Linked DNA regions of Coturnix japonica. The protein of the gene in region 1 binds, or shares a complex with, the protein of each later gene. Links are inferred from orthologs where the notes say so. Each region holds a gene or a part of one and is shown in the gene's direction. Other genes may lie near its edges. The genes, in order: RAB11FIP1 and RAB14.

The links.
Region 2: the proteins of RAB11FIP1 (region 1) and RAB14 are in contact, whole or in part, in a crystal structure (PDB 4D0G), measured with the Homo sapiens proteins. The link is inferred for Coturnix japonica from reciprocal best matches to the Homo sapiens genes RAB11FIP1 and RAB14. Residues at the interface, in NP_001002814.2 of Homo sapiens: Glu1252, Ile1255, Asp1256, Asn1257, Leu1259, Val1260, Met1263, Pro1267, Asn1268, Leu1270, Arg1271, Ile1272; in NP_057406.2 of Homo sapiens: Leu28, His29, Ile44, Gly45, Val46, Glu47, Phe48, Gly49, Trp65, Arg72, Arg74, Ala75, Val76, Ser79, Tyr80.

What each region holds. Positions count from the first base shown.
Region 1 is NC_029537.1:3,593,967-3,609,698, reverse strand, and holds the start of RAB11FIP1 (rab11 family-interacting protein 1), read left to right. Parts: upstream 1-5,546; 5' UTR 5,547-5,609; coding exon 5,610-5,950; intron 5,951-6,703; coding exon 6,704-6,763; exon of another isoform or gene 6,764-6,770; coding exon of another isoform or gene 6,771-6,838; intron 6,839-8,315; coding exon 8,316-8,758; intron 8,759-9,212; coding exon 9,213-9,990; intron 9,991-10,322; coding exon of another isoform or gene 10,323-10,329; exon of another isoform or gene 10,330-10,972; intron 10,973-10,978; coding exon 10,979-12,859; intron 12,860-13,446; coding exon 13,447-13,552; intron 13,553-14,615; coding exon 14,616-14,834; 3' UTR 14,835-15,732. Other genes in the region: prolactin-releasing peptide receptor-like, read left to right, coding at 178-584, 1,600-2,227. UniProt on the Homo sapiens protein: A Rab11 effector protein involved in the endosomal recycling process. Also involved in controlling membrane trafficking along the phagocytic pathway and in phagocytosis. Interaction with RAB14 may function in the process of neurite formation.
Region 2 is NC_029532.1:6,860,508-6,876,252, reverse strand, and holds the start of RAB14 (ras-related protein Rab-14), read left to right. Parts: upstream 1-6,740; 5' UTR 6,741-6,946; intron 6,947-14,091; 5' UTR 14,092-14,098; coding exon 14,099-14,150; intron 14,151-14,762; coding exon 14,763-14,816; intron 14,817-15,745. Other genes in the region: GSN (gelsolin), read right to left, coding at 3,249-3,518.

The sequences.
Region 1 (15,732 bases):
CCACTTTGTGCTGCCTTCCCTGGGGGGCTGCTTACCAGCATCACCTCTTTTCTGACCCCCGTGCACTATTCCCTTGCCTGCAGGCTGCAGCAGGGAACTCACAGCATGCCCATCAGAGCCACCTGATCCACTGGGTTTTGGGCACCTGGGATATCCCACAGCCACCCCAAAGAGGCCATGGAGCCCGGTGGTGATATTACCAATGCCAGCACCTATGGGCTGGCCCTGCAGAGCCACCCTAATGGCAGCACGCAGTTCACTGGTGTGCAGCTCATCCAGTCCTTTAAACCCCTCATCATTCCCTGCTATGCTCTGGTGGTCCTGGTGGGCATCTTTGGCAACTACTTGCTGCTCTACGTCATCTGCAAGAGCAAGAAGATGCACAACGTCACCAACTTTTTCATTGGGAACCTGGCCTTCTCGGACATGCTGATGTGTGCCACCTGCGTGCCCTTCACCCTGGCGTACGCCTTCAACCCACAGGGATGGATCTTTGGGAAGTTCCTGTGCTACTTTGTGTTCCTGATGCAGCCCATGACAGTCTATGTCTCTGTGTTCACACTCACGGCTATCGCAGTTGACAGGTAAGAGGGTACAAGGGGGTGACATAGGGTCCTCACTGTGGGCAGGATGGGTGCTGTCCCCTTAGGCTGCTTGGTGGTGTGGCTTAGGGTGCTCAGAGCCCCTGAATAAAAGTTCCACTGATCCAAAACAGGAGGCTGTGCTGTCCCAGCAACATCATTGTGCCCAACTCAGTAATGGTGCAATGACTGCCAAGGGAGCTGATGCCTGTGTCTGCAATGTTCCCATGCCACCAGCTCCATCATAAGCACAGCAGGGATGGGCTCCAGCGGTGCCCCAGTGCAGCTTTCTGCCTCCACCTCAGAGCAGAGAGTTTTTCCTCCTGGGTTTTCATCCTTTGCTGCACCAATTTGCATCAAAATTACATTGTGTTCTGTCACCTGGATGGAGAGTGCTTGTGCTTTCTGAAATGGACACAGGCAGGACCTGATTGGGAGGGGGGTAGGGGAGATAGTATGTATAAAAACTGTTTCCATAGATACATGGCTTCATTAGAGAAGCTGCACAAGCCAGGCAGAGCCCAATCCACTGGTATTGGGGGAGAGAACCCTAGAGCAAAGGGGGAAGGCAGAAGCAGGGGAGGTTGAGGTGGGATAGCTGAGAAGACACTGTGGAGTTGAGCTGGTGGGCTGAGATATCACTGAGGAGTGCTTGCCCTGTTCTTTTGCTCTTTATCAAAGCTACTTTTTGGGGGTGAAAGTAGAAATTTGAGCTCTTCCCACTACAGAAGCATCCAGGAAATTATGGTCCTCACCATGAATTGTTGCTGTGCTTCATCTTGTGTGGATTCATGCCAATCCCTTTGGCTGTGGCTAGAGCTCCAGCCCATGCTGTGCCCTGACCACAAGCAGAAGGTTCAGTCTCTCTATCAGTGGGACACAGCTGTTACTCAGGGCAGAATGGGAAGGAGCCATGTGAAATCCCAGCATTGCCGTGATGATGAGCTGGGGTGAGAAATGTGCCCTAACCCTCCAGCCCCACACTTCAAGGGGTGTTATGGGGTGCTCTCCCCCACAGGTATTACGCCACTGTGCACCCGCTGAAGAAGCGCCTGTCGCTCACCAGCTGCATCTACGTGGTGGGGGCCATTTGGCTGCTGTCCTGTGCTCTGGTGGCCCCTGCAGTGGCCCACACGTATCACGTGGAGTTCCAGCAGCAGGGCTTTGCCATCTGCGAGGAGTTCTGGATGGAGCAGGAGGAGCAACGCCTGGCCTATGCTTATAGCACATTGATTGTCACCTACATCCTGCCTCTCTCTGCTGTCTCCCTGTCCTACCTGTGCATCTCAGTGAAGCTGCGTAACCGTGTGGTGCCCGGGCACCCCACGCAGAGCCAGGCTGAGTCTGACCGTGTGAGGAAGAGGAAGATCTTCCGCCTCATTGTGCTGGTGGTGGCTGCTTTCGGGGTTTGCTGGCTGCCAATCCACGTCTTCAACATCATCCGCGACATCGACATTGACCTCATCGACAAGCACTACTTCCTGCTCATCCAGCTGCTGTGCCACTGGTTTGCCATGAGCTCTGCCTGCTCCAATCCCTTCCTCTACGCCTGGTTGCATGACCGCTTCCGTGGGGAGCTGCGTAAGATGTTCTCCTGCGAGCCACGCATCCTCCCTGCCAGCCACTGTGCTGCTGCTGTGCTCTGAGCTTGGCACCAACACTGGGATGTCATTGTCTTGGATGAATGAAATAAGGCCCCAGGAGAGCCGGGAGGCGTTTGGTTGGGCTGTAGTTAGATGTCTGTAGTGCTAATTTAATAGTACGACTTTCATTAAATCTGTGATTGAGTGTTGGGAATGGAATTTCTCATGAGCTGGTTACACCTGGTGTGTCTCCATGTGTTCCAGCAGGATGGCCGTGTGTGCCCTGCGTGCATGGAGCTGTGCCCTTATTGAGTCATAGGGTCATTTGAGCTGGAAGGGACCCTTAAAGGCCAACTGCTCCAACTCCCCTGTCATGAATGGGGGCACCCACAGCTCTATCAGATGCTCAGAACCCCATCCTGCCTGACCTCGCGTGTCTCCAGGTTGCACCTCACCACCCTTTCTATAAACAGCTTTTTCTTTATACTCAGCCTAAATCTCCCTCTTTGAGCTTGAAACCATTTCCCATTGCCCCATCACAACACACCCTGCTGAAGAATCTGTCCCCTTCTTCCTTCCAGCCCCTTTAGATACCAGGAGGTGCGCTCAGGTGTCCCAGTAGCTCCGTGTCCCCATGACCCACACACCCCTGGAGCTGTCCCCATTCCATGCAGAGTTGCGGGCAGCAGAAGCCGTGCTGACCCTTCCCTGGCTCATTTGGCTGCTGCCTGGGTGCAATTTGCTGAGGGCTTGAGCCTCAATTTGCACCGCCTGTGATTGCACATTGTGTACCTAATGGAGCTGGCTATTTATAGCTGATGGGCTCTGCAAGGCAGGGATACAGCTCCGGAACTGCTGCTTTCATACTTAATTCTGCCTGCTGGAGGGGCTGCTCACAGCCATTGCCCAGAGGGGAGGGCAGAAATGTGGGGCAACCCATGTGAATATGGGGGGTAACATGGATAGTGTGGGGGGGAGAGGGTCCAGTGTGGGGTTCACAGCCCAGGTGGGTCCTGTGTCCTGAGGAAGAAGAGGTCCTGGTGACAGGGATGGATGAAGAAGGGGTTGGAAACATTCCTGCATACACCTGTGCACAAACATATACCTGTATGGACATGTACCTATACACACACCCCTATATGCGCACACACACATGTACCTGTATGGGCACATGCCTATGGAGACACATGCAACCCTTTACACACACATCTGTATGCACACCTGTACAAACATACACCTGTGCACAGACCTGCACACACCAGTACACACATACCTGTACACACACACACCTGTATACACACATCTGCACACATACAGCTGTGCACACACCTGCACACCCACTTGCACACCTGCACACACACACCTGTATGCACACACACACCTGCACTCACACACCTGCACTCAGACCTGCACACACACACCTGCACACACACACACACACCTGTATGCACACACACCTGCACACACACTCACCTGCACACACACACCTGTATGCACACACCTGCACACACACCTGTACACACACACACCTGCACACACACACCTGTATACACACACCTGTCCTCACACACCTGCACACACCCGTATACAAACACACCTGTATGCACACACCTGCACGCACACACCTGCACACACACACCTGTACGCACACACCTGCACTCACAACTGCACACATACACACCTGCACACACACCTGCACTCACACACCTGCACACACAAACCTGTACACACCTGTATGAACACACACCTGAATGCACACACCTGTCCTCACACACCTGCACTCACACACCTGCACACACACCTATATACACACACATCTGCACACACACACCTGTATACACACACACCTGTATACACACACACCTGTACTCACACACACCTGTACTCACACACCTGCAAACACACCTATATGCACACACCTGTATACACACACCTGTATGCACACACCTGCCCACACACCTGCACTCACACACCTGTATGCACACACCTGCACGCACCTGTATGTACACACACCTGCACTCACACACCTGCACACACACACCTATATGCACACACCTGTGCACACACCTGCACACACACACCTGCACACACACACCTGCACTCACACACCTGCACACACACACCTGCACTCACACACCTGCACTCACACACCTGCACACACACACACACCTGTACACACACACACCTGCAGTCAGACCCCTGCACACACACCTGTCCTCACACATCTGTCCTCACACACACCTGTATACACACATACCTGTACTCACACACCTGTACACACCTGTATACAGACACACCTGTACTCACACACCTGCACTCTCACACCTGTATACACACACACCTGCACTCACACACCTGCACTCACACACCTGTACACACCTGTATACAGACACACAGAATCACAGAATCACAGAATTACCCGGGTTGGAAGGGACCTCAAGGATCATGTAGTTCCAACCCCCCTGCCTGGCAGGGCCACCAAACATACACCTTTACTAGATCAGGTTGCCCAGGGCCCCGTCCAACCTGGCCTTGAACACCTGCACTCACACACCTGCACTCTCCCACCTGTATACACACACACCTGCACTCACACACACCTGCACACACACACACCTGTACTCACTCACCTGCACTCACACACCTGTATGCACACACCTGTACACACCTGCACACACACGCCTGCACTCACACACCTGTATACACACACACAACTGCACTCACACACCTGCACACACACCTGCACACACACACCTGTATACACACACATGTGTACGCACACACACCTGCACACACATACCTGTATGCACACACCTGCACACACACCTGCACTCACACACACCTGTACACACACACCTGCAGTCAGACACCTGCACACACACCTGCACACACACCTGTCCTCACACATCTGTACTCACACACACCTGTATACGCACACACCTGTACTCACACACCTGCACTCACACTCACCTGCACACACACACACACCTGCACTCACACACCTGCACACACAGCTGCACACACCTGCACACACACACCTGCACTCACACTCACCTGCACACACCTGTATGCAAACACACCTGCACACACACACACCTGCACTCACACACCTGCGCACACACCTGTACTCACACACACCTGCACATACACCTGCACACACACACCTGTATACACACACACCTGTACTCACACACCTGTACACACCTATATACACACACACCTGTACACACCTGTATACACACACACCTGTATACACACACACCTGTACACACCTGCACACACACACACCTGCACGTTGCACACTCAAGCCCCGCCCACCACCCACAAGCCCCGCCCCCTCTCCTTAAGCCCCGCCCACACCACACATCTCGCGAGATCTCAACTCGGGGCGCGCACAACCCCGCGCCGGTAGCGCTCGGCTCCTCATCTCCCCTCAGCCGCCGCCATGTCGGCCCCGGCCCCGCGCTGGGTGCCCACCCACGTCCAAGTGACGGTGCTCCGAGCCCGAGGGCTGCGATCTAAGGCAGCCGAAGGGCAGGGCGGCAGCGATGCTTACGCCGTGATGGCGGTGGGCCGCGATAAGTTCTCCACGTCGGTAGCGGAGCGTTGTCAGGGTGAGCCGCTGTGGAGAGAGGAGGCCACGTTCGAACTGCCGCCTCCGCCGCGGCCTGTCGTGCTGCGCCTCACCGTGATGCACCGAGCGCTCGTAGGCCTCGATAAGTTCCTGGGACGGGCCGAGGTCGATCTGGCGGCGCTGAGGGAGGACGGAGGGCGGCGACACAGCAGGTGAGGGGATGGAGTGATATGGGGGGTCGTTGGGGGGCTCTGAGTGGATCCTGAGGGGCTTAAGTGGATCCTGAGGGGCTCTTGGAGGGGCTCGAGTGGATCCTGAGGGGCTCAAGTGGATCCTGAGGGGTTTAAGTGGATCCTGAGGGGCTTAAGTGGATTCTGAGGGGCTCTTGGAGGGGCTCTGAGTGGATCCTGAGGGGCTCGAGTGGATCCTGAGGGGCTTAAGTGGATTCTGAGAGGCTCTTGGAGGGGCTCAAGTGGATGCTGAGGGGCTCTGAGTGGATGCTCAGGGGCTCAAGTGGATCCTGAGGGGCTCTTGGAGGGGCTTAAGTGGATCCTGAGGGGTTCGAGTGGATCCTGAGGGGCTCTTGGAGGGGCTTAAGTGGATTCTGGGGGGCTCTTGGAGGGGCTCTGAGTGGATCCTGGGGGGCTCTGAGTGGATCCTGAGGGGCTTGAGTGGATCCTGAGGGGCTTGAGTGGATCCTGAGGGGCTCGTGGAGGGGCTCAAGTGGATCCTGAGGGGCTCTGAGTGGATCCTGAGGGGCTCTTGGAGGGGCTTAAGTGGTGCTGGGGGGGCTCAGAGCACTGCTGGGACCTCCTGAAGGAACCCGACCATCCCATGGGGCTGCAATGAGGACCCAACGGTGTGGAGCTCAATGGGGCTCTGCTCTCTGCTGCTGGTGATCACAGCGAGGCCTCAGGGCTGTGCTCAGCTTTCCTCTTTCAATATTTCTATGTGAGCGCCAGCAGGTCGCACAGAGAGCAGTGGAGTTGTATAGAGGAGCTCTATACTGACAGCACATTGTTCAGGTAGGGAATGAAGGCGCCGTGCTGCCAACACTCATGGATTTGTCTTAATGAATGTTTAATGGCGTGTAAGAGCAGGTAATTCGGTGTTATATGGGCTCATGTCACTGCTGGTGGTGCTGTTAGGTGTCTCCTTTAATAAGCAGTGCAGCTCTGTGTCATACTTACACCTTTGGACATACACTGCGGTGCATTGGAACCCCTGGGGTGGTTCCTGGAGCTGTGGGGTAGTGGCAGCACTTAGTGATGTGGTTTGAGGCAGCACTGAGTCACCTTCCTCCTGTGCTGTTCACACCGGTTTGGTCAGTGCTGGGTCTGGGTCGTATTTGTTAACAAAGCTTGTGAAGTCCTAATTAGCACATAGCTATCATTAAGTCCTGTGTCAGGCTGTAATGTGTTTACGCACAGAGCCTCGTGCTTACAGGCAGCAGAGGTCAGCGAGTCAGCATGGGCCCCTTTCTTTGTATTGCTGGTTGTCTGCAGCTGAAATAAAAGCCTTCTATTGATTCATTTTTTGCCTATGCAAATACAGGTAGCTCCTGGAAACTACACGATGCAGAATGGAATCTGCCCTGTGCTTCACTGGGATCGAACATGGGCACAGAGGGGTGCCCAGGGTGCTTCCCACAGCCTTCACTCATTCTCTTCTGCTTTGTTTTGTTCTTCAAAGCAAATTGCTTTTTCTTGTCCTCCTCCATTGCTTCCAGTGCACCCTGAAGTGTGAACTCGATGGAGTTCTGCCCATTGGAGGCAATGTCAGTGTTTTCCTTCCTATCACCTCGGTGAAGGGAGGACGTCTGCAGCTCTCTCAATAGACACAAAACAAACAAATACATCAGCATACAGCACTGATAACTTCCATTTGCTGGCATTACTGTGCTTTGAATGTCATTAAGGAGGACGATGTGTGGAGCAGGAACTGAGCAAGTGCAGTGCAGGCAGGTTGTGGGTTTGCAGCTTGGTTCCCATTCTGTGCTGTGTTTCAGAAGGGGATAAGGCTCTGCCTGTAGCAAATCTCCTGGTTTGACCCAGTTGTTCTCTCATAGAGCTCAGTAGAAGTCCCAGACGTTCTGTAACACTTGTTTTGGATCTTGCTATGTTGATTAGGGGGTTCTTTAGCTTAAGAAGCATTACCATAGCTGCTGCAAAGGAGCTGGAATGAAAGGTATGAGGGTGTGGGAGGCATGCGTAACCTTTCTGGTACAGTGTCAGCAGATCCTATTGCACCCACTTCAAAGCCTTAATCTGAATTTCAGGAAGCCTGAGGAAAAAATGTGGCAGAGCTGACTGACAGTGCATTCCATGTGTTGGTTTTGAACCCAAACAAAATGACAGATTTCACTAATAACTTTCTCTTCACAATCAGAGGTGTTTTCACATGGTTTCTGCAGTCATATGACAGTGATGTCACTGTAAGATTTAAAGGTTTTGCTTTTTTTTTTTCCCCCTGCACTGTAGGCTTTATGCATTCTTCTAACATCAGCACCCTGTGTGAAGCTATTGGTGTGGCTGGGGAGCTTGTTCAGGAAAGAAATCTCATTGTTTTTTTTTGCAGGTGGTACAAACTACGCTCCAAACCAGGGAAAAAGGAAAAGGAGAGAGGAGAGATCGAGGTGGACATCCAGTTCATGAGGAGCAACATGACGGCCAGCATGTTTGATCTGTCCATGAAGGACAAGACCCGCTCCCCATTTGGCAAACTAAAGGACAAGCTGAAGGGGAAGCGGAGCAGTGGGCTCTCAGACACAGCCTCAGCCATCGTACCCAGCACGACACACTCCCCAGCTGATAGTGAAGATGAAGCACCTGAGAAGGAAAAGAAGAAATCCAAGTTCAAAACGCTGTTTTCCAAACCTGGCCTGCGGAAGAATTCCCTCTCACAATCCATGTCGGTGCTGCCCACACCTCAGCCTGTGGATGCCGGGGTCAGGCACAGGCCCAAGGATTTCCATCTGGAGTGGGACGATGAGGACTTGGAGACCTCTCCAACCTCAGAACGTGAGTATGCAGCCTGCGTGCATGGGGCTGTACTCAGAGCCATGGAATCATAGAGGCATCTGAGTTGGAAGGGACCTTTAAGGGTCATCTGGTCCAACTGCCCTGCAGTTAACAGGGACACCACAGCTCCATCAGGGTGCTCAGAGCTGCATCCAGCCTGACCTGGAATGTCTGCAGGAACTGAGGATAGCAGATATTCTTAAGCTAAGCTTACCTTTGGCTGGCTTAGAAGCCATAAGCCTAACCTGCACATGGCAGTGGTGTGGTTCCATAGTGGATATCTGGTGGTTGTAGGTGTTGAAAAGCTCAGTGTGCAGAGGGCTGACAGCATTAAGGTACCCAGAGGATGTGGCCAGTCTAGTCACACCCACATTGTTGCTGTGATCAGTTAACGGGCTTATATCAAGCATCAGAGAAATCTTGAATTTCTTCCTATTTTTTTCTTTTTTTCCAGGAACCTTTGAAATTCCTCTAGACGAGGAGTCCTCTCCTTCTGTATTTAAACACATTAAAGCAGCGACTTTAGACACCAGGCAGCTAAACCAACCAACCCCTGGCAACACCAAGAAAGAAGGGCTCTCTTTATTTAGTGGCCTTAGGTCTAAAAACGATCCAGTTTCCAAGTCCAGTTTGTGTATCAATGGCAGTCATGTTTATATGGAAGAGAAGGACAGCACTCCAGCTTCTTCCCCCTCTCCTCGCAACTTCAGGAAGAAGCAGGTCTCTGCTTCAGAAGAAAACCTCTTTTCCAGATCTACTAAAGGACCTGAGGAGATGGGAAGAACATCTCCAAGCAATGCTATGTCTGGGTCTGCATCCTTGGAGACCTTTAAAGCTCTGTCTTTGCCATCATATAAATTGCTGAGCGGTGAGGAATATGTAGAAACCAGTGTTCCTGTGAGTGTTGAGGTTACCAAAGAGACCAAAAAAACGGACCAGAAAAAGTCTTCCTTGCTTTCCCTGGTCACGGGGAAGAAGGAAGCAGCTAAAAACAGTGATGCTGAAAGTATTCCGGACAGAACTCAGAAGGAAGAGGAGAACAAAGCTGCAGAAGAGAAAAGCGAACAGGAGACCAAACGTCTCGAACCTCCAACAGATTTAAGCAGAGGAAATCCTTCAGCAGACAGTCAGCCAGAAGCCTTCACAAGTAAGCAGCCACTCAACCCCTTTGAGGAAGAACGGAAGCCTGAAAAAGCAGCAGCACCAGCAAAGGCCAAAGCTGTCAAACCCAGGTCAGTGGCTTTTGCTTCAAATGCTGACATAAATAGTGACATGCAGTGGTTGTGGGTTTAGTTAGGGTGCTTCCTAGCACAGAGCAGCACTTCTGAGCTTGATGTGCTGCATGCAGCAGCATCGTGCTGTTCAGGGGGAGGGGGATTCCTGAGGGCTTGGAGCCATTGGTCACAATCATTTTGGTTATTATTTGGTTATTATTCATATTTTTCAATATGAAACAATAGATTGACATAGGGATATTACCAATAAGTGATGCCAAAATAGCAGCTCTCTGAGTGCAAGCAGCTTTTCAGGTTCTGGGGTAAGTTTCTTGCTGGCTCTTTTGCAGAAACTAACATTCTTCTGTCAGAGCTGCGTGGCTTGGAACACATCCAAGGGCTGAAATATCAGTTCTAACACCTCTGCTTCTCCCTTCTATTATTTGCTGTGGTCTTCACAAGAGTTAACCTTGGAGCCCTTCTGCTTTTGACACGGTTCACAGCAACAGCAAGTGTATCTATGGCATTTGTATTCAAGGCTTTTTCGGAAATTCTGCTCCTTCATATGTCTGGTTGTGCATATGTGACTTCATATATATATCTGTGTATATATGTGTGTGTAAATACATTTGTCTTACTAATAAGGCTATGTTTTGCCTGCCTCTGACTCTCTGTTTTCAGTGCTTCTTCCTGTTTAAACATCTTGCACATGAGGTGTCTTACTAATGGAAGTGCTTGGGATGCAGGAGTTGAGGTCACGCTTTAAAAGCAGACGTGGCAGTAATTTGAGTGTGCAAATGGCAGCAGGAGCATTCTGACATCAACCAGGTGTCTGTGAGGAGCATTTAAGCATATTTACTGGTGTCTGTTAGATAGGCTTCTGGCTCTCTTGCTGTGTAATTGATCTCCATTGTCAGGCAGTGGTGCAGTCTGGTGCTGAAGCTTGTCTGTTGCTGCTTCAAGTTGCATCCACAGGTGACATGTGAGTTTTTTGTCCCTTTTGCAGACTGGGCCTGTCTTCAGAGGAGGAAACCAAAGCTACTCTTCCTACTCTTGCACCTGATTCCCTTCCTGCTTATCTGTCTTTGCACCACATCAATAGTGACAACAATCCCTTTGTTTCTAAAATGGAACAGAAAGTACCAGACTCTGAGGGCATTACTTCTGCATCTCTTCCTTCTTTCACTGCAGAGCATTTAAGTGGCAAGAACCCCTTTAATCCCAGCTGGGGCAGGGGAGCTCCAGCCCTGGGTACTGACCACGTTGCCATCCCTTCATCCCATCACCTTGCAGCCTCTGCTCCCAAAGGGCAGATCTCTCATAGTGGCAATAATCCTTTTGCTTCTGAATGGGGTCGGGATCCTGAAGGCTCTGATGCATATGCTTCCACGTCTCCTTTGCCTGCGCATTCTCTCCATTCTGGTGGTCATTTTAATGGCAATAATCCATTTATATCCAAGACTGGATGGGGTGTGGATGTGCCAGGTCTCACAGCTGTCACTGCTTCTTCCCCTGTTGGCCTTCCTGGTGATGGAGACAATTCCTCAGCAGGACTTTCTGCTGATCTGAGCTACTCTGCTGTCACTGCTTCAGGGAGCTCTTTGAGTGTGGCTTCAACTCGTAATGTAAATGCTGTAGCAAACCCTCCTGGCACTCCTGTCGACCCTGGTGTGGCTTCAAAGAATCAGTGTGATTCTGTACAGGCGCAGGTGGGCACTTCTTTAGATAGAAGCAAGTTAGTGCTCTTTGCAGAGAACAGTGCTGAGCAGCCACCTTCCTCTGAGAGTGAGCTCAAAGAGAAGCAGGAGGTGTGGAGAGAAAAGAGGAGGGAGGAGCATTCACCCACATCGGATCCCCAGGATGCTCCTCCTGATACAAATGAGTCATCTCCAGTAGGATCTGTGAACCCAGTTCACAGTGCTCACACACAGCCTCATCAGGAAGCTGCTGCAGGGAGAGCTGGCAGGGAGGGGGCTGTCACACCACAGCCTGCACCACGGCTGTCTTTAATGCAGGGATATCCCCGAGTTTCTCAGGCTGATGAGTTAAGTGTTGGGCCGTCAGGGGAGGGTGAGGGCTCTGCATCCGGCCTTGCTTTACAGAATGAGAAATCCCCTGGTGCTTTTGGGTGCCTCCCTCAGAATGGCTCAGTGACAGCTCTTGTCCCACCAGTAAAGCTTAGAGCTGACAGCAGTAGCAGACGTGTGAGAAAGGAAGGGGACGAGGATTTGTTTGATTCTCTTACAAATCTGAAGTCTGCCCTTTCAGTTACTGGAGATCACAACATGAGGCTGGCTGCCCTTCCTGCTATTCCTGAGGCAGGCTCTGATGATGAGCTGCAGGGTGACTGCCAGGAAAACCACGGCGTTGCTGCAGATGATCAGAACATTTCAGAGTCTGTAGGTAGAAAACCTTTGCATGAGAACCAGCAGGAGAGCTCTGATAGCTCTGCTGCAGGCGGAGTAACTCTGTCTGCAGGAGGAGGAAGTGCTGTGCCCGTGCTGCCTGCAGGAGGGCACGGCCATGAAGTCAGTAAGCAGGCACCTGACTCAGGTATGACGTCTCATTCCAGTGAGCACAGTAGTTGTTTTGAGAAGCAAGTAATAGATACTGGTGTTGGGGAGCGTGCAGAGAGTGACTTCTTTGAGCCTTCTGTTTCCTCTTCCTCCCTGTCGTGTTCTTCCCAGCCCTGCTCCTCCTCTCGCTCCCTCTCCTCTGACACCCCAAGTCAGAGAGCAGAGTCTCCGAAAAAGCCAACAGCAGAGGGCTTCGCTGATAAAGCAGGAAATTCTGGCAAGAAGAAGCTTCTTCAGGCATGGGTTTCACCCTCTGAAACGTACCCTAACCAAACTCAGCAGAGTGGTGAAACCATGTCTCCTAAGCACAGGTGAGAGAACATGGGAACTGCATCGAAGGTATCTCGGTGCTGAGAGCCTTGCTTTTGATGTGAGCTTTGTCTTTTCTTGCTCTGTTACAACCAGCACCACGAATCCTGAGCAGTTAAAACACCTTTTATGGCACAAAGTCAGATCAGATAAGTTGTACTACCTGTGTGTCCCAGTGTAGCAGAAGCATTTGGTATTTTGCAAGAACCACAAGTATGCTCTCATTAAGAACTCACTCACTGGTGCACAAAAGATGGCAATAACAGCTGGTATTACTGCCCTCTCCTGTGGGCTGACCTTGCTTTTCCTTTGTGATGTTGTTCAGGATATATTTCCCTTGTTACTCCTTTATCTCCAATGCCTTAAGTCAGTAAAGGCAGTAGAAAGAATAGAGTGCACTAAGAGAAGCCTGTAGCTGAGGCAGAGATTTCTTATCTTCCCAAAGGCAAATCTTTTATCTCTGGAGTGGGAGGGAGTGCGGAGAAGGACTTTTCCCCATTTTTTTTACTGTATTTGTTTTCACTCTGAAGATGTAACGCCAGTATTGTGTGTACTGCATGAATGACATGAGCCCTTTGTAATGTTACAGACTTCATCCTGTGAAGCCAATGAATACCACAGCAAATAAATCCCAAAGCAAAGACCTGAATGTCATCAGCACTATGAATGAGAAGCTGCTTGAGATGAACATAAAGGTAGGGTGGAGAGCAGCACTTCAAACTCAACTCCTGTACTTTGCTTAGGATCATGTCTCTTGTGTATCTCACGCAGGACTGTGCTTGTGCTCAGACCATGGGGACTGTGCAGTTTTCTTTCCTCCTTTCTTGGAGGTGGGGACATTCTTTATGATTTTCTTGCAACTCATCAATTATAGCATCAGAGCCTCCTGTTTGAGCAGGGGTTTCTGAGTGGAGGGGATGGAGGGCTGCAGCCTGACTGCCTAGAGGTGAGCAGGACATCCAGAGCTGTATCTCTGAGTGACATTGCTGTGCTGCCCTGGTCCTGCTTGTGACATGCAGGATCTGCATAACTTGGATCAGCAGGAAAGATTGGGCAAATTAATCACTGTTGATATGCAAACATCATTAGTCTGCGAAGCTTCTTTTTGCCCTGAAGTAAATTTGTGGATCTTAAAGATGGGGAAAAGGTATCCTTGGCATGTCTGCTGCCTTGTAATGTGTTGCATTAATATCCTCTGCTTCCTAAGAGCATCTCTTTGCAGCTTGTATAACCACTCAGATTTATAGTGTGGGTTATTTTACTGATAATCTTGGTCTCAGGAGACCTCTAAAGCTAATCCTGTGGTGCCTCCTTCTGGTACAAGTGGAAAAGAAGAAAGTTTTATTTAAATACTATTGACTGACATGTTAAAATGTTTGTCAAGTTTAAGAGCTAAAGGCAGAGTTATCAGACAAACTGTGCTGTGTGTTTGTGGTGGTAATCTGAAGAAGACTGAAACGCCTCAGGCCTATGTGAGGGTTTGTGCTGTTTAACCTGAATTTGACCTCCCTGGCTTTCAGCACTTTGGGTCTGAGCAGTCATAAAGCTTTAATGAGCAGCATTCCAAAATGCCATTTAGATTGAATGTAGCTCTACAAAGGTGGGAAGCACGGTAATACTTCTGAGGAGCAGCTGTGTGTTGGCAGATGGAAATGTAAAGCAGTTCCTCACTGCTTGAACTCCAAACCATCTCCTAGAGAGCATTCAGTTCTTGTCTGCAGTGCCCTCGTGTGAGGTGACCTTGCTTTTCTTTTGCAGAAATACAGTCCTTCAGATCCTGCCTACGCTTATGCTCAGCTCACACACGATGAGCTGATCCAGCTGGTCCTGAAACAGAAGGATACGATCACCAAGAAGGATCTCCAGGTGCGTGAGCTTGAAGACTACATCGATAACTTGCTTGTCAGAGTCATGGAAGAAACCCCAAACATTCTTCGTGTTTCAACTTCTGGAAACAGAAAAGCTGGAAAGATGTAGGAGCTCTCTGGACATCGAACAAAGGACTGAATTCCTGCCAGTAGAGTTTGATTAATAAGGAGACAATGTGAAGTAGGTGGTACTGCTGTGCTGCCTGCAGACAATGAGCTCTTTTCTCTTTCTGGCTTGAGCAGCCATCAGTTGGAGTAGTGCTTATATCAGCTCTTGGGTATGGAGCCCAGAAGTAGAGTCATTTACCATATTTATTTTTTTGGTCTTTTTCCATTATTTGGGAAGATTTGTTCAGGCATTGAATCCAAAGTCTGATTGCGATAGGAAGGATGAAGGGTTTGTTGTTGTTTTGTGTGTTTTCCTTGCCAGCAAAGCACTGCTGGTCCTTTGTTGAAGGTTTTTCATCGTTGCTTTTTAGCAGCTTTGATAGATCAGTTACTCATCTGTCTGCATCCCAAGTTGTAGTGCAATATAAAATCACTTACAGTAGAGCTTGAGGATTTGATTGCTTTTGCTTTTATCTTTTGACAACTACACTGGAGGAGTCCAAAGCTGAATGGTTCAGCACAGAGCTGTGTGGGCTGTATTTTAAAAGCAATTAATGTCCTGAAGCAGAATGCAAGTTAAACCTCAGACTGGAAAGGAAGAAGCAAAGTGAAATTAGTGATACAACATAAGCAAAGCAGTTCTCCAAGGGGAAGGTTTACATACAGGGTTTTAATCACAGATATCATGGGATGTTTGTCTACCATAGGAATAAGGAGTAGCAATGGATTTGGGCTGATGGTACATTGTTTGGAAGCTGTTCTCCTCTGGACTTAAATTCCTGATTCAAAGGTTGTTTGAACAGGGAAGACAAAGGTACAAACATCTGGATTCTGCCCAGCACTCCTGAATTGGATTTCACTGTATGCATTCATGGCCTGGGGCTCCTGTATGAAAGTTC
Region 2 (15,745 bases), on another chromosome or scaffold:
GGAAACAAAAGCGCTTCTTTGCAGGCACAACATTGAAATTATTGCTCAGGAATCAAATATACAAGTGGGATCAGAAAGACATGAGAAATTCATGAGGGGTGGGATGACTACTGACTACTAAACATAATCATCTGAATGCAACCTTCAGTTCCGAATATCCCTGATCATGGCAGTTCTCTACTGCCATAACCCACAGTGACAGACCTAAGGAAATCTGCCCATACAAACTCTTCTCTCCTTTGTCTAAGCATCTGCTGCAAGCTCCTGTCATTGCTGAGACACTGATGAGCTGTGAGACAGCTCCGCTGCTCCTGCCCTGAGGGCTGTATGAGGCTGCATTACCTCTTCACACCACCACTGTCTCATAGAGCCTCCTGCAGAAACATACTTTGCAGATGAGCGAAACATGGCAGGCTCCATAGCTGTGCACTACCCCCACCTAGGGAGATTGTCTGATACTGGCGAAACAGCTCCAGCCCAGCCTGCAGCTGAGAACCCTCGCATTGCTTTTCCTTTCATGGGAACAGAATTAATCATCCAGAGCATTTCTTTCAAGTTCCTTCAGTCTTCTGAGCATCTGAAGTGATTAAATGATGATTAACTGATGAAACTGAAAAGATGAGAACTTTAATGTTGAGAAGCAGAAAAAACTACATGACAGAGGTACACAAAGTGGTCAGGCAGAGACGTGTTCAGAAATAGATTATTCATACAGCGATTCCTAAGTGCTGTGAAAGTGAACAATAATCAAGAACAGCGGCTTCTTCCTATACGGTAGTTATTCACTGTGAGCAACTTACTTCATATGTTTAACCACGTTCCGTTTAACTGCAATCAACCTGCAACTTCACCACTTCAGCTCACATTTAAACATAAAACAGAAGAAGAAGAAGAGGAAGAAGAAAAACCAACCACTAAAATATTCCTTCTGGTAGATTTTCAAAGCAAAAGGGGGAAATGGTTTGTGGAGCTCCAGATCCCAATCCAACATCTTCTTTCATAAGCATGAGTAACATGTCAGCAGCAGGACTGAGTGTGGAGTTCAACTGGAAAGCTTGCATTCCTAAAGCAAGCTAAAAGCAGATAGAAATCCTGAGCACCAAATAAGACAGACGGCTATTTTAGGAAAGGTTTCGTTCCCACCAGCACACTGTACAACACCCAGAATACAAAAAGTGACTTTATCTGAACCTGAGGAAGCACTGGCTCAGCACAGGTCTTTGAAAACAGCTAATTGCTGCTCTGTGCACCATAGCAAGGCTCTTACCAGCTCTTCTTCCCAGACGCAGCATCCCCCCTCAGTGGCACTGCTGGCCACAATGTTGACTCAGGGGAGAGCTGAGGCACTCACAGAAATACATAAAGTATCTACAAAAACAGCCCTGTCATGGAACAAGTCACGCAGCCTCTCAGCTGGAGCTGGCAGCAACTGCCCTCGGTAACAGAACCGTGCAACCAGACTGCAGAATGTTATCTCACATCCCTGCTTTGCTGATGAAAGGAACAAATTCACAAACAGGTTGGATTCGTGCCTGTAAAATCAAAGTTGAAACCAGCAGTAGCATTTTTGCTTTGTCACACTTTAGACATTCAAAAGCAGCCAGAGATTGTCTGCAGGTTCAGTTTCCGTGTTATTTTCCCTGTAGTTCTGGAATTTCATCAAGCTGAAGAAAGCATCCATTCTTCTGAGGGCAGGAGACATTCCTTCACCGCCTGCATGTGCCCAGTTCTCACTAGAACACAGCGGTATCTGAACACTCAGGCAACCACTGGAAAATCCATCCATGTATTTAAACGCAGTATTTAAGTCCACCATCCACATATACCTACAAGGTGTAACTTCATTCCTACCCTATCACTGTGTTGGATTTTAGTGAAATCCATGAAGCTCGACTCCATGCTGCTCCAGCAAGAAAGCAATGCAGTGGAGCCCATGGATGGCACAGATAAACACCCAGGACTGGAGCATCCGTGCAGAGGACAGCATTCCCACTGTCTGTGCTGGAGGTGAAGAGCAGAGTACAACACAGTGCGCAGGCACACCTTGAAGCACGGCACGGCACAGCCTGCCATGGAGAGGACATCAAGCAGAGCTGGGTTCTGCTTCTCCCTGCAAGCTTATGGGTTAAAGTTAGAGCTCTCTGCACTGCGTGGTACGGAGTGTGGAATAAACTACCTCACGGACAAGATGAGGGAAACCATTTGCAGTAGCCAAGACCTGATCCTGAATACTTGGACAACAATTCATTTGCTGGGCAGATACAGCATAGTTACACAGACACTGCAGGGTAGTTGGGGGAACCTAGAGGATGAGAGGTACTTGAAAGCCATGTTCTGCTCCAGAGCAGAAGGACCCTGAGCTGAGCATGCCAGAAATTCAGCAAAGGAAACATTTTTTCACTGAGAAACTTGCATCATGCAAAGTTGGTAGTGGAAAACCGAAAGAATTGCAATGATCAGTAAGGAAAAAGGAGACTTAGAGGAAACTGATGCTAAAGTCATCCTTGTTAGCAAAGGCGGATTTTTGTTCCACATCCAAAAGCAAATAACATTCCAAGCAGCTTTATTCAATGAGGATCTACTTACTAATGAGGCCTCCTTGAAACAAGTCATCCCCATAACTTTTTTTTTTTTTTTTTTAAACACTTTTCCTAGGAAACATTTCAAATAACTTTAAGTATCCACATTAGTGCAATTCCCGTTCAAACACCGTTTCCCCGGGCACAGAAGCACGCACACCCGCCGCTCCGGTGGCAGATGCTCAGCAGGCGGCCGGCGATCCGCCCCGTGCTGCTGTCAGTGTAACACCAGGTCAGACTGCGGAGCAGCGTCACACGGGACACCGGCTCCGGAGCAGCCGAGCCTGGAACTGACACTCAGTCCCGCCGCTCCCCCCACGCCCCTCCCCACATCCCCACATCCCCCCTGCAGCCCCAGGCTCGGAGCTGCCGCTGCCGCCCGCCCGGCCCCACGGTGCCCCCAGGATTCGCCCCGCTCCCCGTGCCGGAATGTTCCTCGCTGTCCCCATCGCGGTGCCGGCCGTACCTGCTGCTGGCGCTCGGGGCGGGCGGGACGCGGCTGCGGGGCGCGGGGCCGGGCACAGCCGGGCAGCCCCGGGGGCGGTCACAGCGCGCACCCCGCCCCAGCCCGGCCCCGCCCCGGCCAAGGCCCCGTGGAGCTCTGCCCGGCCGTGATTCCCCCACCACGCCCAGCCCAGCCCCTCGGCCACCATTTTGTTCCTCACTTACCTCATTCATCTCAGCCTCCCGGGGCGCATCCGGGCCGTCCCCACGCTGGGTGGAGGAGGGAAGGGCCGTTCCTTCGCTCCGTGTCACATGGCGAGCAGCTCCTCGTGCTCCGCCACGAGGCGAGGGCAGCGCGGGGCTGGAACGCGGTCGGCAGAGAACTCGGGCACGGCCGGGCGCTCCCACATCCCGCAGTCCCTGCAGGCCGGCTGCTCTGCTCACACCCACGGGAACAAGGCTGCTTTGAGCCCGGAGAACAATGCGGCCCTTCATCCCGGCACCGGGACAGGCGGACCCTGCAGCGCCCTGTGCTGGGAGAGTTCATTCTGCACCAGCAGCTGCTGGGAGACAGTGGAAAGAAGGCAAAGTAAGCACGTGAAGGTGCCTGCTGCTGGCTCCTGACAGTGCTTTTGGCCCATGGGAAGCAGCACTGATCTGAATTTGTGGATGGTAACTGAGTCATCCAGCATTTCACAGCTCGCACCATCTGTGGGCACGTTGCTGTACTGAGGAGCCACACAGCTGCCCCGTCTCTGAAAGGGTGTTGCTGGTAGTCAGCACAGTTCTATTGCTGTAGTGATGGGGTTGTGCCGAGGCACAGGCTGCTTGCTCGCAAAAAGGCTGGAATGCAGCACGGTGTTAAGCTGAAGAAGTGAACCAGGCATCCACATTTAAGTGTGATCTCCCAGATAACTCAGGTAAAGCAGTGCTGCTCAGCTTTGTAGTTGGTATCAAAGGAGCCGCTGTCAGCTGGAGCTGCTGCCTTCTGCAGTGCTGGAATCCTGCAGGGATGGTCCTGCTGTGTACAAGTGGGCAGGGATTTACTTCCTTCTGAACCCACATTCACTGCCATATGGGGAGCATGGGCTGATTGGCACCTACTGACACCAGAACTGCTGTTGTGACAAACATCCTCGCACTGGTATTAAGTCTGATGTGCAGGTTTGGGGCTGTGTACAGCAGGCAGCTGATATGGCGAGGGATAGAAGATGAACCTGGCATCCCAACATCCAACCAGACCCACCAGTCGTTTCAGAGCGGCCCAGTGTTACGTGCCCCACCTCACACAGATTGCAGTACTGCAGAATGGCTCCTGGATGATCCCAGGCTTCTGCTTTCTGTTCCTGCCCACAGACATTTGGACGCAGACAGAAAAAGAAGCTGAGGCTTGGGGGAACAAAAAGGAGAAACCACATCTAAGCAGACATGCATTACTTCAGCTGCCCTCCCTGCTGATCCTCCCAGCCTGTGTTACTGCTGCTGGGCCACTTAGGTTTTCCTAACCATTGTGAATTGCTGCTTTCATGCCATCATATAAATGCCAGCTGCGGGTTTTTTTTTACCCTTCAGTTGTGTTTTATGTATCACTTCTTCATAAGATCTCCTCCTATAGCTGTGAGGTGCTGCATTGAAAGGTCTCGGCTGTAGATTTTCTCCCCTTTTTCCCCTGATTTATTTACAGCCATGTTGAGAAGTAAGAAAAAGTAAATCCAGGAGCAGAATGGTCTGGGTGCTGCTCTTTAATGCCAGCCTGCAGACAGAGACACTCAGAACTGGATTCCAAGTGCTGCACTGAACTGGCAGGAACCCACAAAGAAGGGTGGGAGGATAGGCAGCGTTTCATCTCCAGCCGTCTGCTATTGTTACCAAGTTAGTGGGATTTAATGACAGCTGTTGGGTTCTGCCCTGATGTCCAGGAGGAATGAGCTGCACTCAGCCTTTTCTCAATCACCGCTCTCAAGAAACTGCTGCCAGCTTTCATGTGATCACAAGGACACGAGAAGCAAAGCAGTAAAGATGCCATTATCCAATCTTCTGGAATAGGATTCAAAACCAGACCCTTTAAGGCGAGTCTGCATTGCCTTTCAGCTCATGCGACACAGCAGCTTGGTATGAAATATGCCCCAAAGTTTGAGTTTCACGTGAAAAAGATGGCCTCTGTTGTGGTTAGATAATGGCTTCCGTCTTTCTTTGTTGCAAATAAGAAGTAACAATGATTATTTGTATATTCTAAAGCTACTTTTCGCCCTGTTCAGCGTGTTCTCAGCCCGGCCCTCACACTGAGGTGGTTTGGAGAGCTGCTGAGTAATCCTGCCCATATCCGTGGCCACAGGAGGGAGCAACACTTCATAACTTAAAGACCTTTGAAAATCATCTTCTTTATAGAAAAAGCTTAGTCCATGTCGGTAATATATGGGGGAATACCGAGCGTGTAAAGGCACCGGGGTGTCTGACAGACAGAAAACCAGGCTGTAACGGTGTCAAAATAGCCCGATCGTTTTGTGTTTAACGACTCCCTCTTGTGGAAATCGTCCTGACTGACTCAATTCATCCTCACTGACTCGTTTTGACCTATTTTTCTCGTCCAAATCCCTCCATATATGGCACTGCTAAATTCGAGAGCAGCGCTGTTGCACAGCGTTACCTATTTGAAAGGTAAGACCCCCATAAGAAGAGCTGTGGAAGGAGGTGAGCTGACAGCAATAATACATGGTAATTTTGTACCTTCCTACCGATATATTTATTATTTAGCTTATGCTGAGTGATCCCCAGCGGGGGGGATGCATGGAGAGCGGTCAGTTAGGAGTTCCCTGTAGGAAACACAGAATCACAGAATGACCCGGGTTGGAAGGGACCTCAAGGATCATGTAGTTCCAACCCCCTGCCTGGCAGGGCCACCAAACATACACCTTTACTAGATCAGGTTGCCCAGGGCCCCGTCCAACCTGGCCTTGAACACCTCCAAGGACGGGGCATCCACAACCTCCCTGGGCAGCCTGTTCCAGGGCCTAACCACTCTCCTAGTGAAGAACTTCCCCCTAACATCCAACCTAAATCTTCCCTCTTTTAACTTAAAACCATTTCCCCGTGTCCTGCTATTGTCAGCCCTTTCCAAGAGTTTACTCTCCTCCTGGGAGTAAGTTCCCTTCAGGTATTGAAAGGCTGCAGTGAGGTCACCCCGCAACCTTCTCTTCTCCAGGCTGAACAAACCCAACTCCCTCAGCCTGTCCTCATAGGGGAGGTGCTCCAGCCCCCTGATCATCTTCCTGTCCCTCCTCTGGACCCTTTCCAAAATCTCCATGTCTTTTTTGTACTGAGGGCTCCGCACCTGGACACGGTACAACAGATGGGGCCTCACAAGAGCCGAGTAGAGAGGGACGATCACCTCCCTATCCCTGCTGACCACCCTCTCCTGATGGAGCCCAGGATCCCATTTGCTTTCCGGGCTGCCAGAGCGCACTGCTGGCTCATGTTGAGTCTTTCATCCACCACGTATGGAGCAGCAGACACAGCGCTGTGCGCTCACACACAGCTCGGCCCACCTGAGGCGGCCCCTTCTCCTGAGGAGCCGCTCAGTCCTGCCGCCCTTCCCTTCCGTTCCCGCCCCACGCCGCCGTTGTGAGGCGGGGCTTTTCCCGCCATTGGCTCCTTCCCGCCTCCATCGCCCACCTTTGTGCAGCCCCGCAGCCCGTCCAGAGTGGGAGGGGAAACCCCGTGCGAGGGGCGCCGCCATCTTGGATAAGGAGGGGGGTGATGGGGGCGCAGTGGAGCCAGCGGAGCAGAGACTGAGGGAGCGCTGGAGTGAGGTGGGACCCGGCCCGGCCGCTGCCCAGCACGAGCAGAGCGCTCCAGTGCCCGTAGGGGGACCGGGCTGTCGCCGGCAGAACCACGCTGTACAGCCACACGCTCCCTGAGCCCAGGTAAGGAGGAGCTGGGGAGGGGCGGCACGGAGCGCCAGGCCCCGCGGGACTGACTGGGCGGCAGCGCGGCCCGGCCCGGCCCGTGGCTCCGCGTCCTCCCGGTGCTGTGTGCGGGTCTATTCTGTGCCGCACTGGGCGCTGCGGGCCGCGCTCGGGCGGCGGCAGCTCAGGGCGGAGGGACGTGGGGCCTGGGAGGTGCAGCGGGCAGGCCCAGCCGGGAGCAGGAGCAGGCCCAGGCCGCTGTGCGCTGCCGGCCGCCGCCTCCCTGTGCACCGCGCCATCAGCGGGTGCTGGAGCACATTGGGTGTATGTGAGCATATATGTGAGCTCGGTGATTGCTGCAGTGTGGTTGCCGTATGCGTGTGTTACACAATGTGGCTGATGTGCGGTGTTATCTCTGCTTATCCTGGCCTGCGCTGTTGTAATGAACTTAGATAGAAAAATAACTCATGGGGTGAATCTATGCTACTTCCTATCTGTGGAAGCAACAGCTTCGTTTCCTTTTGTCAATGCTTCTGCTGCCAAAGCAGCAGTTCCTTGCTTTCACCTATTTGCATTACATAGCTGTGCCTGGAATTGAAATTATACTGCTTTGTCCTTGCAGGAAAAACGTGTCTGTGTTGGGATTTGGCGTGGCTGCATTGCTCCGCTCTGGAGGTTCCTAGATGAGGACTCTGTAATGTGGTGGTTTTGTGCTGCTGTGATTTTGCAGGTGTAGAAGCACACCTGGGTGTAGATTGTCCAGCTCCTAAATCACTTTGAACCTCGAGTCAGAAATGTAGCTCTTATGGTTACCCTGCGTTGTGGTGTGGGATGTTTGTCTTGGGATCATTCTGTCATGGTTAGGACTGAGGGCTTCTTGTTCTTGGGCACTGCTTGGGAATGGGAAGGAAATCCCAGTCCTGAGGGGCTTAGAAAATAATTATCATGTAGCCTAATATGATTTAACAAAGAATTTAGTAGTTTCCTGTAGGGATTTGAACAAGTCATGGATCTTAGTTGAAGGAAGAAGCTCTTTATACGTATGTTTTAAGGACTGCCAAAGAGAAAAAGAGTGGGATTGTGAAGGACAGCAGAAAACAAACCTGTTATACTGGCAGTGCTGGGATTCTGAATGTAAATTGAACTTCTGAAGCTGCTTGCTTGCTCATGTGCATCAAATGGAACTTAGGATTGTTTCTGGCTTTGCTGTATGTTTCTGCAACAAAGGAGCTGGACCTCAGTGTTTCTTTGAAACTGTTTCCCCCTTCCTTCCTGAGGTAATGGCTCTCAGCAGTTGCTTTCTGCTCTGATTTACGATCTGACAGTATCTCCTGGTTTTTGTATATACTGACCCTACGCTCATCTGAGATCTCTGGAACTTCGCTCCTATGCCTCCTATGTAGGTATGTGTTGCAGGTGGGAGCCTCTTATAGAGAGAGGAGAATTGGATAAGTGAGGTCTGCTAACCCGGAAGTGAGGTCAGCATCTAAGTGTGGGAAGCTTAGGAAACAAGATGGCAGAGCTTGGTAGAGTGAAAAAGGACTTTACCACCACAATGTGTGCAGCTGGACAGCTGTTGAGGTGAATCAAAGTGGTGGTGGCATATGTTCTCTTTATTTTAAACCAAGAGTGCTTGGCCTGTGTGTTCTTCCAAAATCCTAACTTGGTCTGAGGCCTAGGAAGTGTATGTAATGTGATCATGAAATATCGTATATATCAAATATATTCCTTCAAAAACAACTGAAAGAAGGTCCTGCTCAGTTGCAAGCTCACCAGTCTCAGCCCAGCAGCTGCTGGCCTTTTGTGTTTCTAGAGAGAATGACTGGACGTGTGAGAAATGAGGAGCTGCAGAGTGGTCTTCAGAAGCAGATTATGAGAGGCCTGACTGCAAGCTCTGATTGAAGACCACTTCAGCTAAATGTATCGTCCTGTGCATCATCAGATGCTTCTGCAAAGTCCAGTCAGAGGCACTAAAGAGGATGACTGGAAGAGCTGAGAAATGAGTAAGGAACTGGCCAGCAAGAGGTGATGTTATGAGAGCATGAGCTGCTAGCAGGCTGCTGATGGCACTGCTCTGGGGTCAGTCTTACATGTTGGGCTCTTTACAGATGAACATACAAAAATAAGAACCAAGGGGAATTAGTGGTGGCTGTTAGGCCATTCTGTTTATGAGGGCTGAGGTGTTTGTATATTTAGGAACATCTGAATGTCCTGAGTGTAATAGAACAACAATGAAGTTTAGTGGTACCCCGCAGCTTCCTATAGCCAGCTGACTGATGGGGATTCACCACTTGGGTGTATCAACTGATGATAAAACCATTACTGCCTTCCAGTGTCACAGTGTGATGTTACAGAAGACCACAAGTGGTGCAGTTACAGACAGTGCTTCCAGCAGCCTGCTAAAGGAAGATCCCATTTACACTGCTCTGCTTCATGTGCTTGACAAAACTCTTCATCAGAGGAATAGTTTAAGTTGAAACAATTGTTTCCCTGGATTTCCCTCCTTTGTCCCCTGCTGTTCTTAGTGTTCATTGCAAGTTGACGCCCAAGTACATATGCAGAGAAGGAAGGTTATCACAGAGTCACACAACACATTCATTTTGTGTGAGGATTTAGAACAAATGCAAGTTCTGATATCCTTAAAGAGTTGTGGTATTTGGAAGTGATGATGTGGTGGTGTTCTCTTCTATAGAGGTGGGACTGAACTTGACCTCTGAGGTTCCTCTGCTGAAGTACATCCATGGGGAGTGCCCCAAACCTCCCGGGTGGTTGGGTAAAATACAAATCTCTCTGGCTCCAGACTAACTGAAGTGGTTGTCTGGCTGCATTGGTATGTTTTTAAGGAGAGCCTGTAATATTGAGACCATCCTGAGGCTGAGGTATCATCTCTATGTGGGCTGAGCAGGTAATGGTATTCAGCACATGCAGTGATGACAGGTTCCAGTCCCTCCTAATAACACACAGATTCTTACTTAGCATAAAGTTGTGAAGATTCTCTATGCAAATGATTCTCATTGCAGACCTGATTGGCTGTGTCCCTCAGCTGGGCTGGGAGGAGCTGCATGGGCCTCGTGACAGCTGGTACGGGTATGATGCTAACAATTCATCCTGGGTGCATTGCCATAACACTCATAATAAGAGCAAACCACCTTATCTCAGTTTATATTGGTAGATGCTGGTGTTTGAAGCAGTTTTGGATGTGAAAATACTGGCCTGGTGCTTCTTGTTTAGAGGAAGAAATACCAGCATCACCAATATCTTGTTAAGGCTGCCTTCTCTTATTATAAAGAGGTAGAGAAGATGTATGGAGAATGGATTACAGCAACACACGGTAAAAATTCCTGTCCTAATTGTGACACAGAAATTAATCGTACAGGGTTTGAAGCTAGCAGAGATCTGTGTACAGTGAAGCATGATCCTCTGGCCAGTTGCCACCCTGAAATAATGCTGTAAGCTCTGGGGAAGCGTTACCTCGGGAAAGGGAGCTGGAACTTGTTCTAAGTTGGCACGTTTTCCTGGAAGAAAGATGGCAGGCAGACCACGCTCCCAGACAAAACTACTTCTGCTTTCTGTTACCAGTGAATGGATGCCTGGTTAACTTTGTGTTGTGTAACATCAGCTGTGGCTGAAGGTAGGTTGTGCAGGCTTGGATGGGACTCCTTCAGTCCTGCAGTTCCTTCTGCCACCACTCCTGCTCACCAAGGAGGAACACTCTGAACCCCTGTATTGGGAATATGACAGGGAGCAGAGGGCTGTGAAGGGGTGTAGAGCACCACTTTCTACAGATAACTGATCCTATTGACAATACATGAACCCTCTGCATTAGCATGTAGCTAACATTTGTTGTGATTACTGAGCTCTTCTGTGCACTGCTCTTGTCTAAACTTCCTTCTTTTGCCTGTAGCGAGTGCTGAGCTTGGATGTTTCCTAAGGCTGAATTCTCAGTGGCTTCTGTGTTGTCATGGGTTTTTTCTTTTCCTGTATGTTGCACACTTCTGATCCAGCTTTATATTTAGAACTTGGTTGTCTTCCAGCAGGGATTGTTCTGTGTGTCCGTTTAGTGAAACAAAGAAAGGGGTGAAGTTGTGAGAAGTCTGGAATGTTGTTACAAGGTTCTGCTCTGTGAAGTAGGTTAATGTGCTGTTAGCTGCTAAGTGGAATAGTTTAGTTCCAGAGTTACAGACAGCAAGCACATCATCTCCTCTAATATGTGAGCTCTGTGGTCTAAGGGGAGACCCTTAGAGCAGCCTCATCTCACTAAGAGTGAAGGTGATGTTCTCACAGTGAGACATGGCTTGAAGGGTGTTGGCCTTTCCAACCCGTTTCTTAGCAGGCTTTGTTACCAAGTGCAGGATGTGGTTTGCTAACTCTTGCTTTGAAGTGGGAACTGATTTTGATGCAGATGTTACAAAGCAGTGACAGTTTCTTTCATATCGAAGTAGTGCAGTTGCAGACCTCTTTAAATAAGGAGTATAATGAAAGTTGGCATAGCTCAGCACATAGAAATGGTGTCAAGTAAACAGAGCGGTATATTTAGCAGTGAGGACTCCTTCCAGACTTTGTGACACAGCCTGCACAGAGCTCCCAGTCTGCCCATGCTTTTAATAAAAAGGCTTCCACCTTCCAGCGCTGCTTCTTAAAAGCATAGGCACTGCGACCTCTTCCTTGTGCACTGCATCATTGTCAGGTGTTTGGAAGCACTACAGTGGGGTATTTCTGAGTACTTAGCATTCCTTAGCCAATGGGTGCTGTGTGAGATGGACATCGGGGTTTGCTCAGGATGGATCTCACAGCTGCTGGGTAGCTCCTTTTTCCCTTCAGAAAACCTATGTAGGTTGATAGATAGCCTTAACAGGGTGCAGAGCTGTCAAACTAGGTTCCTATTGGTGCTTTCAGTCTCTTCAGCTTTATGTAGTGGCTGTAGCATGTGTTTTCTTTGGGGGTGGGGGAGAACATTGCATTTCTGCTGTCTTCCCAAAGGGTTTGCAAATATAAGTTGGCCTACTCAAGCTCTTTTGTTTTTAATTTTATTCACTTCCGTACCTCATAGTACTCAGGTTAGTACTCTGGTTTAGCCTTGTCTGCCATCAGAATGAACTGCAGCAGAGCAGTTAGAAGTAGTGCAATGGGTCAGGAGGTGTAACTGGGGCTGGTGGAGAGGAGGGACAGGGCAAGATACATTTGTGTGTTCTGAAGTATACACTGTTTCTGCAGTAACTCCTGAACATTGAAGTCTCAAGTGCAGCTACTTGTCTTTCTTTGCCAGTGTTGGAAACAAACTGTGTGAACTGAAGCTGACACTGTAGCTCTGGACTCTTTCGCTGGTAGGAAACATGGGCTGAAGTTGTTGTTGGCTGGATGGCAGGTTGGGGCGGCACATCTGAAACACAAATGTGAGTTGTGCTGCTGTGCAGCGCTGCAGAGCACTGTGAGCAGCTGTGCTGAGCGGGGCCTGGGGGTGACAGAGGTGTGGGGTGTCTGTGTGCCATTTCTTACGTGGCCATGGAAGAAGTTGGTGTAAAATCACCTTGACTTGATGGAAATGATGGTTCTTGGAGCCATGCAGCACCTAGTTGGGAATTCTGGTTTTGCCAACATGGACAAGAATGACTCTCCAAGACTTTTTGTTGTTGCTGTTGACTATGTAGCACTTAAAATAATTAATACAATTAATAAGATTAATAAAACAGTGTGTGTCTGCATAGGACTTAATGGAGGTACTTTGCTGCTTGGGCTAGAAGGCCTCTGGAACTCCTGTATCTTGAGGAAAACACAATGGGAAGGTGCAGATCTGGCATGTGGTGGATGTTTCTCACCTTCCCCTTGGAGTTGTTCTCCTCCATGGTCTAGATAGGGGTGTTTGCTCCAAACCTCTGCTGTGCAGAGCTGTGGCTGTCAGCCTGTGCACAGTGAGTGAGGTTTGTTGGCAGTCACCTTCCTTAAGACAGTGATTCACAGCTATGGAGCAATGTTGGCTGAGGAAACACTACCTTCTACTGAAAAGTACTTCTGAAAAAGGTACAAGCTTGTGAGTTTCTTTGTGTTCACTTCTTTGAGGTGCTGCTTTGGTTTGTCATGTGGATGACGCGTGACTGGAAGGACCTTCCTGGGCTGGGGCCATGTTGTCTGTGAGCAGTACAGTTGTGCTCATGGCTGGTTATCTGCCGTGCAGGAGCAGGACAGGAAATGGTGAATTCCTAATAGAAACTTCCTGTTTGCTTAAATGATGGCACTTAGGTCTTGTTTAAATTAAAGTCTGGCACAAAAGCTGTCGTTTTGCTCTGAGATAAAATAATAAATCTGAGCAGCGTAGACTTGCAATCCTGCATATGCGATACAGTAGTGATAAGTCAGTTTACACAGCTGAGGCCACTTCTAATTCCTCCTACATGTAGGAAAACTCCACAGTGTTGAAAGTATTTATCCCAAACAAATTTTAACGCTATCGTTTAAATCCTCTACAGAGCAAAGATTAGTGAATAAATCCTATAAGATCAGTGAGCTGTGCTGCTTCAAACAAAGAAACAAAAGGGTTGTGAAGCTTTGGGATGATCACGCTCTGCAGGTGGAGCCACAGATGTGATGACTGATTTCCTGAGCATCTTCTCTCTGACTTGGGCTGCTCCACTGATGTACAGGCTGCAGTCAATGCTGCTGCAGCATTCCTGTGCTGTCTGAAGTAATTCTTAGCTGTTTGATGCAAGCTGTGCTGTTTGTCTCTGTTGTGAGTCCCAAAGGTGTCTGGTTGTTGTTCCAAACCACTGGTTTTATAAAACCTTTTGTGATAATTGCTTTTTGGAGTCAGGCTTTATTTCCAGCTCTCATCAGCTACTGGGCTACAGTGTGCTGGTCAGCTTGGTGACCATCTGAACCAAGAGCCTGCTGGAGCCCTTAAGTGGCTGGAAAGTTTTCCTGATGATACTGAATGGGTGTCAATACTAAGAACCTGCTTCTGTTCAGAGTTATTGATGATGGGATTTCTGAGCACATGGTATGGGAGTTCTGCTGAATGCTGGGACACTTGGACTGTGAATGAGGAGGTGGCTGGGGAGAGAGAAGGTGGTGTTCTTTTTCTTTTCCTTGGCTTGCGTAGGCTCAGTTGGCTGAAATGGGTTCAGTTCAAACAAGTAGCAGTTCTGATATATTCTGTTTTTGTTTTTCAGTGCCACGATGGCAACTGCACCTTACAACTATTCCTACATCTTTAAGTACATCATTATTGGTAAGTACTTAGATATGTTTGCTCCAGTATCTGTGTGTAACAGTGTGCCTCCAAACTACTGTTGACTTCTGTTTCGTGTTGCTTGCTGTATAGCATTAGCTCTTTGAGCAGTTCCTCATCCTGCCTCAGTCCCTCATAGATCCCCACATTTGCCCTAAAGCTTTAGCAGCTGATCCAAATGAATGCAGATGCTTTCAGTGCTGCTGGGAGTGGGGCTGGGTGGTTATCCATATTTTTTGATAGCCTCTACTTGCAGTTGCAAGTAACACAGGAGAAGGGTGAGCACTCAGTGTGTTGTGCTTCAGTTTCTTGCAGGTCAGCCTTATTCTGACCTTGTGAAACACAAGTGTGAAGTCAGTAATGCAGTTATCGTCACTTGTGTATTTTCTGCTCCACCCTTGCTTGCAGCTCTGTACCTGCAACCAAAATTACAGTTTGGCTGTAACACTGATAAATCTTGAAGGCTGTAGCCAGGTGTAGGAAGCAAGGAAGTTGCATGTTAGACCTGGGAAAGGAGCAGCTGCCTGTCCCTGTATGTGTGTTGTGTGGGATGAGCAGAATGTGCTTGTTGCGACAACACGGTGTCTGCTCTAACTGCTCTTTCTGTAACAGGGGACATGGGTGTAGGAAAGTCCTGTTTGCTTCACCAATTCACGGAAAAGAAATGTGAGTATTTCAGTACACAGTGCTCATTGAAACTGCTGTACTTCATCTCTCTTTCCTGCCTTTCTGCTTCTGTCATAGGTGAGCTTGATCTATATCATAACATGGGGAGGTTTGTACAGTGCTTGGTCAGACTTCTGTTTTGTCTTCTGCAATTATAGAAGTAAAATGCTGCTGTAGTAATAGCAAGAATGATGCCAGTCCTGTCCAAGAGTGGGAAGGTACATGTGTTTTCACAGCTTTCCCAGGGAATTGTGATATGAAACAGTGAGATTTATTGTCTAAAATGTGTGTATTTAATGCTGGTATGGCTTTAAACTCAGCTGTAGGTTTTAAAAGTTAAGTACTTGAAGGGGTGGGGGATTCACTTTTCACGGACTGCAGATTTAAGCGTTGTCATTCTCTGTAGCTGCTGTGACTCATGGCACTAGGACTGCTCCTGCGTGATGCTGGTCAAGGCTTTCAGCATTCCATCTCAACTGTAATATTTCTTCATGTACGCTATCACAGCTAACTAAGAATCAGCTTCAGCTCTTCCTACTAATGTGCATTGCATTGAGTTTGCAGTGGCTGTTACAAACTCTTACGACTTCCCATGTAGCTCACGCTCAATGGACAAGTCTGTAGCTATCTGTTAGTATGGAGCTGGTCTTTCTCTTGCACTACTCTAGATGTGCAGTAACTGTGTGCATGCTGCAGATTAAATGTTCCTGTTTTGTAGTAGGAAGTGAGTTTTTAACTGCTGCTTTGAATCCAAACCCCAGAAAACCCACTTGTGTAAGTGCTACTTTGCATTCGGTTCCGTTTATGAACAGGCAGTGACTTGTTCTTACAGTGTGTTATGTAGAAGGGGCACAGCCAAACAAGCTGGTTTATAAAGCATCTCTGCTATGGGACTCTTGAATAAAGGTGGTATTCAACCTTTCTCTATT